2 linked regions of the Caenorhabditis elegans genome follow. The protein of the gene in region 2 purifies or fractionates together with the protein of the main gene of each other region. This does not show direct contact. Each region holds a gene or a part of one and is shown on either strand. Other genes may lie near its edges.

The links. Proteins that work in one complex are often made in the same cells at the same time.
Region 1: the proteins of F30A10.9 (region 2) and Y49F6B.2 fractionate together in Caenorhabditis elegans (co-fractionation; one large-scale study listed by BioGRID). This does not show direct contact.

Annotation. Positions count from the first base shown.
Region 1 is NC_003280.10:3,501,237-3,505,465, forward strand, and holds Y49F6B.2 (Fcf2 pre-rRNA processing C-terminal domain-containing protein), read left to right. Parts: upstream 1-1,731; 5' UTR 1,732-1,737; coding exon 1,738-1,848; intron 1,849-1,936; coding exon 1,937-2,176; intron 2,177-2,244; coding exon 2,245-2,409; intron 2,410-2,455; coding exon 2,456-2,580; intron 2,581-3,472; coding exon 3,473-3,590; 3' UTR 3,591-3,674; downstream 3,675-4,229. Other genes in the region: col-71 (Cuticle collagen 71), read right to left, coding at 329-689, 1,113-1,208; cyh-1 (Cyclin-H), read left to right, coding at 3,783-3,854.
Region 2 is NC_003279.8:9,503,756-9,507,639, reverse strand, and holds F30A10.9 (PIN domain-containing protein), read left to right. Parts: upstream 1-1,871; 5' UTR 1,872-1,874; coding exon 1,875-1,948; intron 1,949-2,003; coding exon 2,004-2,069; intron 2,070-2,123; coding exon 2,124-2,272; intron 2,273-2,323; coding exon 2,324-2,481; exon of another isoform or gene 2,482-2,632; intron 2,633-2,663; coding exon 2,664-2,807; 3' UTR 2,808-2,819; coding exon of another isoform or gene 2,820-2,912; 3' UTR 2,913-3,078; coding exon of another isoform or gene 3,079-3,174; 3' UTR 3,175-3,237; downstream 3,238-3,884. Other genes in the region: Ubiquitin carboxyl-terminal hydrolase usp-48, read right to left, coding at 1-66, 111-412, 461-542, 593-850, 903-1,084; stn-1 (Syntrophin-1), read right to left, coding at 2,820-2,912, 3,079-3,174, 3,286-3,884.

The DNA of each region.
Region 1 (4,229 bases), on a different chromosome or scaffold from region 2:
AATGCCTACAAGGAAGGCGCCTAGAAAGCCTACAAGGCAGGCGGCTAAAAAGCATGCAAGGCATACAAGGCAGGCGCATACAGGGCAGATGCCTAGAAGGCCTTCTAGCCAGGCGTCTACAATGCCTATAAAGTAGGCGCCTGCTAGGCCTACTAGACAGGGACCTACAAAACCTACAAGGCAGGCACATAGAAAGCCTACAATGCAGGCGCCTAGAAGGCCTAGATCGCCTACAAGGCAGGCGCCTACGAAGCAGCCTACAAAGCCTACAGGGCCTAGAAGGCAGGCGCCTACAACGCCTACAAGGCCTACACGGCTTAAACCTCACCTTCAACTCCAACAGCAACAAACGGCTTATCCTCGTAGGCGGCCGCCGGGCTATTTCCCTTCACCTCCGCCGCAGCCGCATCTCCACCACTATATCCGACAGGCGTTGGCTTGCTCGGATGCACATCGTATCCAGCTTGACGGGCGGTACGGTTGCCTGCCTGTGCGAATGGGAAGCCGGCTCGCAGAGCAGCAACGTCATCGAAAATCTGACGAGCATTGACGTTGCACGTGGCCATCTCATGGGACATCTGACGTTTTACCGATTGGACGTAGGTGAAGACAACTGGCATTGTGACACAGAAACAGATCACCGAGACTGTGGAGAAGGTGACGGCGGCGTAGCCGATAAGGCGGTAGGCCTGGAAATGATATGGATTTTTAGTTTTTATAAGCTTAGAAGGCCTAGAAAGCCTACAAGGCAGGCGCCTAGAAGGCCTCTAAGGTAGGCGCCTAAATGGCCTAGAAAGCCTCCAAAGCAGTCGTCTAGAAGGCCTAAAGGGTAGGCGCCTAGAAGGCCTAAAGGATAGGCACCTAGAAGGCCTAGAGCGCCTACAAGGCAGGCACCTAGAAGGCCTACAAGGCCTACAAAACAGGCGCCTAAAAAGCCTACAAGGCAGGCGCCCAGATGGCCTAGAAAGCTTACAAGGTAGGCGCCAAGAAAGCCTACAAGGCAGGCGCCTAGAAGGCCTAGAAGACCCACAAGGCAGGCGCCTAGAGGACCTACAAGGCAAGCCTATACGGCCTAGAAAGCCTATTAGGCCTACTCGAAATAGACCGCTCACCTTAGTCTTCGGATCATCATCAACGTGCGTCTTCAAGCCCATTTCGCGAAGCAAAACGGGTGTGGAGAATGGCTTATCACCGCCTGCGTTGCGCATTTTAAAGCCGCCGAAAATCGCCAACGACCGGTAAATCGGTGAAAAAGTTGGTTCGCATGCGAGAGATAACGTAACGCCGTGGAGACGCAGAGTGTGTGGTCTATCGGATTTTCGGCGGAAAATGCTGGAAAAAAGTGTTCCCTAAAGACGTCAAAGATGATAATGAACGATATAATTAGAAGCTTTTCTATAAAGTTTTTTGTCATTGAAGCTGGAATTTGGCTGAAATTTGCCGATTTTTCGCAATTTCTGAAGCTTGGAGCTTAAAAAGCATCGATTCTGCTCGAAATTCCCTCAAAAAAACCCGAAAACCCATCAATTTCCCGAGAAAATCTTGAAAATTTGGAGTTTTTCCTCTTCGGGGCCGAGTTGGAGTTTTCTAGGCCACGAGTTGCATCCGCGCTCCATTGCGAATATGGTTAATTTAATTTATTTATTTCGAAGGTTTTCACCGGGTTTTCGTCGGTTTTCGCTCTTTTTCGCCAGTTTTTTCGAATAAAAATTGAAATTGAATGATTTTCAGCTCAAAATGTCTGCGCTCTACTTCAAAAAGCTACGAAAACAGCAGAATCCCGACGTTTCAAGCAGCGAAGATTCGGATTCCGACGAGGAAATTCCAAAAAAGAAGCAAAAGCAACAAGTAATCACAAAAAACGGCGATTTTTGCAAATTTTTAGCGAAAAAAACCGAAAATTTCCCAGAAAAGCACCAAAAAAATCGATTTTCAGAAGCCTGTCGCCGAGGAATTCGATGATTTCGTCGTTGACAGAGCCGTACGTGAAGAAGCGCCAAAAGAAGGAGCTTTTGAGGCAGTTGACCTGCTCGGAACATCCTATTTGGAGCCATATGAGATGGATAAGGACTTGCAGGAGCTTCTGGAAAAGTCAGTTGTCGGGCCGAAGTTTGAAGGCGATCATCAGCCTCAAAATAGGCTTTTAGGCCGGAATGCGGCCGCCAGGCTGAAGAAAGTGCGTTGAAATCGATGAAAATTCGATTAAAATCGCTCAAAATCCAATAAAAATCGCTATTTTTCCAGTCAGAACGCGAAAAAACCAAAGGATCCGCTTGGTTCAACCTTCCAGCGACGGAGCTCACCGATGAGCACAAACGAGATTTGGAATTCCTTCAAATGAGATCAACTCTCGATCCATTGGCTCATTATCGTCGAAATGACCGGGCTGTACTGCCGAAATACTTCCAAGTTCGAGAAAATTTAAAAAATTCCCAAAAAATCCGAGATTTTTCAGGTTGGACGAGTCGTTGACGCTCCAGAAGACTTTTATTCGAGTAGAATGGTGCGAAAAGAGCGAAAAAAGACGATGGTCGACGAGATTTTGCATAATGAGGAATCGTTGAGCAAAGCCAAGAAAAAGTACGGGAAAATCAAGAATTTTTGTGAAAAAATTCAAGTTTTTGCGTTTTTAACGTTAAAATCGTGATTTTTAGAGCAAAAATGAGCTAAAAAGGATAAAAATTGGCCGATTTTCACCCAAAACGGCGAAATTTTGCCAAAAATCCTGGAAATTGATATTTTTAATGCAAAAACTCGCTAAAAACGGTAGAAATTGACCGATTTTCACTCAAAACGCCGAATTTTTGCCGAAAATCCTGTAAATCTGCAGTTTTTGCGTTTTTTTAACGTAAAATTATGATTTTGGACTCGAAAACCCCAAAAAAATGCTGAAAATTGATCGATTTTCACTTGAAACGACGAAATTTCGTCGAAAAAACCCGGAAATGGACAGTTTTTTACGTTTTTTAACGTAAAATTATGATTTTGGAGCTCAAAATTGGCTAAAATTGATGGAAAATGGTGAATTTTCGTTACAATATGGTTTTTTTTTAATAAAAAAAACATTTTCCAAGATTTTTACCGAAAAATTTGATTTTAGGAGCAAAAAAAAGCCGAATTTTCAGAAAATTTCGCCGAATTTTGTCCAAAAATGGCGAAAAACCGCAAACTTTTAACTGAAAACACGATTTTTGACCAAAAAAACGATAATTTCAACGTTTTTTTCCGGAAAATAATCGAAAATTTTGAGAATTTCAGTATTTTTTCCTGAAAAATCCGCTAAAATCTCTGAAAAAAGCACAGGTTTTCCCCCCAAAAATCGATTTTTCAATAAAAAAAAACTCAATTTTTTCGGATTTTGAGCAAAACAAACGGTTAAATTGTGTGAAAATAGCTCAAAAATCACATTTTTCCTCCGAAAAAATCGATTTTTATATCAAAAAGCTCCAATTTTTCCATATTTTCCTTCCAGATACGCTGAAATTCGCCAAAAAGAGCAATCTAAACGACGTGGAGCATTCCAAAAATTCGGAAATCGCAAATCTCACAAGCAACAGAGAGAATCAAAAATGAAGAATAAGAAGAAATAATTTTTTTTTGTTAATTTTTTGAATTTTCACATTTTTTTTCTGGTTTTTGTTGGAATTTTCTTGTTATAGACTCGTTTTTTTGTTATTTTGTCGATTTTTTGCCCATTTTTCACTAATTTTCACTGGTTTTCACCCAGAATTACCTTTTTTTTTACCGAAAATTTCAGCCAAAAAAATGGCAAAAATTCAGAAATGTACGCGACGAGCACACAAAAACGGGAATGGACGTATACACCGGAAAAGTTGGCCGCAATGCGTTTGGAGGTAGAAAAATTGGAATTTTTTATGGAAAATAGGCTAAAAACAGCAAAATTTTCACTTAAAACACGGAAAATTAACAATTTCGGCATTTTTTATTTAAAAAATTCGGAAAAAGTTGAAAATTTAGTCATTTTTATTGGAAAAATTAAGAATTTCGGCATTTTTTATTTAAAAATTCGAAAAATTGAGCATTTATTTCATTTTCTCTGAAAAATTCAGGAAAAGTTAGAAATTTCAACGTTTTTTCCGGAAAAATTTATTTTTTTGTTTTTTTTTTCTGAGAAAAATTGAAAAAAAGTAGAAATTCCTGTAATTTTACTGAAAAATCTGAGAATTCCACCGTTTTTTTTCCGGAAAAATGGATTTTTTTTCGCTTTT
Region 2 (3,884 bases):
ACATAATCGGATTGCTTCGAAACATCTCCAGTTTTATTGCATTTTGAGCATTTGAAGTCGTCCAGACTGAAAATAAATATTAGCAGTGAATAGAAAAAGATCGAACTCACTGTTCTTCTCCAAAGTAAGCATCAAGAGCATCTAGAAGTGTGCAATAACCTTCAATATTCAAAGTCAATGAGATTGCTGTTTCTTCCCGTTCAGATCGTTGTCCACATTTGCATACAATTCGAGTACAAGTCTCTCCAGTGAAAAGATCTTTTAATCTTTTCAAAGTTTCTTTTCCATTCGGATGATCTGGAAGACATCGTTCGAGTGCATTGAAGAATTTTAATCCGAATTCCTGAGAATCTTGTTGTTCTGAATTCAATCGAAGTAATTTCCCAAGATTCGAAGTTTTGTCGGTCTCGTTCTGGAAAGAAAAATCTAAAATTAACAGCATTCATATCAAATAACTTACGAAAGGAGTTGTCTGTAGTGTATAAAAAATGTCTTGAAGCGCGAGCATAGTTGCTTGAACATTCATTCTTGGAGCTTCTGGCCTGAAAAATAAAACAAATTTTTTTTGAAAAACTGAGGCAACAAAACTAACGGAACAAAGTTCTCCGATGGTCGGAAATCATAGATCAACTGCCGGAACTCAGGAACGTTGAACCAGACTTGAAGAAAACTATTCACATAGCAAAAGTTTCCTCCATTGATAAGCCCGGCTGGTTGATCATTCAGATCTCTCCGCTTTTGATCTTTTTTCGCTTCTTCTTTAGTTTCCTGCTCCTGAGTTATCAACTTTTCAAACTTCTCGAGTCCTAATCGATGTATACAAAATGGATTATCGCGACAATTCGATGACCTGAATCGATAAAAACAAAATTAATTATAGTTTGTTTAATAAAAATGCTTACTTTGAACTATGCATATCGTGTAGAAGACACTTTTGACAATCTAATTTGGCAACTTCCATTGCTTTCGAAAATGTGACTTGGTCCTCATCTGTATTTACTAATGCATTTATTGCTTCATTTCGAAATGCAACTTTTCTTTGATTCGGACGTTCTTTTGGCTTTTTGTCAGTCTCCTTTGTCATTTTCTGAAATTGAAAATCTTTTTAGACATTCCTTTATTAAAGGAAGTGTTCTCGTTAAGAATAAAAATAAAAGCAGACTTTGAAAACATGACAACGCGAAAATATTATTTTACTTTTTATTCAAATTTTAAACTGAATTCTTGCACTTTTTCTTGGCGTTAAGATTTAAAAGTTCGTGTATGAATTATTCCACATCGTCAATAATCAATAGTCCGCGGAGAAAAGAAACGGGGCAATAAAATAAAAACATAAATAGCTGACAGAAATTTGAATATGCGATGCACATTGAATGCAATTTCTTGAAATGCTGGTTTGTGCGTCAGATTAAATGCATTGACTGGTGCATACACGGAGCACCAACTCTGCGGACTTTTTCGCAAAAATTTTTTCTGATATTTTGAGACCCGAAGAACTCTGGGGATGTCCAATTGGGGGGATTACCAACTCGGGGGATTGGCCCCGCCCACAGAACCGTGGCTTGCAATACGCCCATTTCTGCAACTGCCGCACGGTTTCGAAACTGTATTTTTCTCAATAGAGCGAGAATTAACAAGAAAAATACAGTTTCAAAACCGTGCGGCAGTTGCAGAAATGGGCGTATTGCAAGCCACGGTTCTGTGGGCGGGGCCAATCCCCCGAGTTGGTAATCCCCCCAATTGGACATCCCCCGAGTTCTTCGGGTCTCGATATTTTGTTCGAGATTCTTATTTTAAAGATTTTCTTCGTTTTTTCCAAATTTCTTCGATAATATATGTGCTAATTTACAAATATATGTTCTAATTTACAGAAAATGGGTAAACGCTTGAAGTCCAACGCCAGAAAAAGCGCTGTAAACAAGCTTGTCAAAAAGACAGACAACAGAATGTAAGGATAACGATAATTTTATCGAATAACCTTGATTTAAAACGCAATATTTCAGAAAAGAAGAACAAAGAGTCATTAGAACACCGAAAGTAGATGAACAAGAACTCAAATTGGTCCGTGCGTAAGTTTTATTCGTACGAATATGTGTCCAGACAATAATAATTCATAATTTCAGTCCAAAAATCTCATCCGCTATGTTTATGAAATACAATACACAGCTGGGTCCACCATTTCACGTTATTGTCGATACCAATTTTGTGAATTTCGCCGTCAAAAATCGCATTGACATGTTTCAAGGATTCATGGATTGTCTGTTCGCGAAAAGTGAGTCATACACTTTCTTTCGTTTTCTTGTATTTTATCACAATAATTCAGCTATTGTGTACGCAACTGACTGTGTATTGGCTGAATTGGAAAAAGTGAGAAGATTCAAAATTGCTCTGAAAGTTCTGAAAGATCCACGTGTGCAGAGACTGAAGTGTGAGCACAAAGGAACATATGCTGATGATTGTTTGGTTCAAAGAGTTACACAGGTTCGTTTATTCATAATTTTTCATTGTTTTTCATTTAATAAAATCTAACAAATCTTAAACGAATAAAATCTATTATGACGAGAAGAGGCAGGAGACGGAATGTGGTATTGCTGCAGTCTTTTTGTTTGGCAAACTTGAACAAATAACGAATCTGAAAATGAAAAAAATAATATAATTTTCAGCATAAATGCTATATTGTGGCCACTTGTGATCGTGATCTGAAGCGCCGCATCCGAAAGATCCCAGGAGTTCCGATCATGTACATTGTCAATCACAGATTCTCCATTGAGCGAATGCCTGATGCATATGGAGCTCCAATGAACTAACCTTTTGATGCTTCACGCGTACAATCCTAATCGATACACCTTGGTGGCGAGAAATGAATGAAGAATGAACACGACTGGCTTTGCGGAATTTAGCAAATCCAATTCCTAAATTTTTCATTCATTTATGCTTCTTTTGTTTTGAATATTACTTGTTGATCTGCTTTTATTGTTTTGTTGCCTATCCTTTTTTTTATTCAAAAACTTTACACAAAAAAAATCCGTTTTTTTTCTATAAGTATGAAATTAAGGTTAAAATAAAATCCATTTTTACCTGTTCACCATGTGGTGGTCCAAAATCGACCCAGAGAAAACGACCACCATCATCGCCGGTGGCGCGAATCGTTTCAAACGAATGTTGCCACAGTACCTGAATTGTAAGCTTTAAGAAAATGTAGCTTCTCTAAATGTTATAAATCTTTGTTTTAATCTAGAAAACGTTTATCACTTTCTTATTGCTAAATTATTCCAATGAGCTCACCTCTCCAGTCGACGAAAGTAATGATATTCCATTGTCTAGATTAACTATTAGTTCGCATGATTCGCCTCGCCAAAGACAAGGAGCAGAGACTTGAGATGTAGAAAGACATGCTTCATATCCACCGATCACTACTGCACGAACCCATCGTGCCAGTTCTGCATGAGTTTCTACCCGGATCGTATGTGTCCGAACACCTTGTTGAGTTCCAGTTCTCATACGGAAAGAGATCACATCAGTGAGACCTTTAATTACTGGCGCAGTTCGAGAACTTGTCTGAACGACTCTTGTTGCCACCAGAGGACGTACTAGTCTTGGCTCTGCCCATTCTGCTTTCAGCTGTGGAACAGCTTCATAGAACAAGATCTCACTATTCGTAAGCGTCATAAATTTAGGTTTCCACATTGAAATTCCATTTTCTGATACTTGTTCTGCAATCCAACCCATATGTCTCACTTGGGGGTTGTTACCGAGCATTATATTGACTTGAGCCAGTGCCTGAGTCAGAAGACACGTGGTACAGGCATGTAAAGCTTCAAACCATCCATCTGCTTCTTCACTACTTGAACATCTCATTGCTAGGGAATACCTTCCTGATGGAC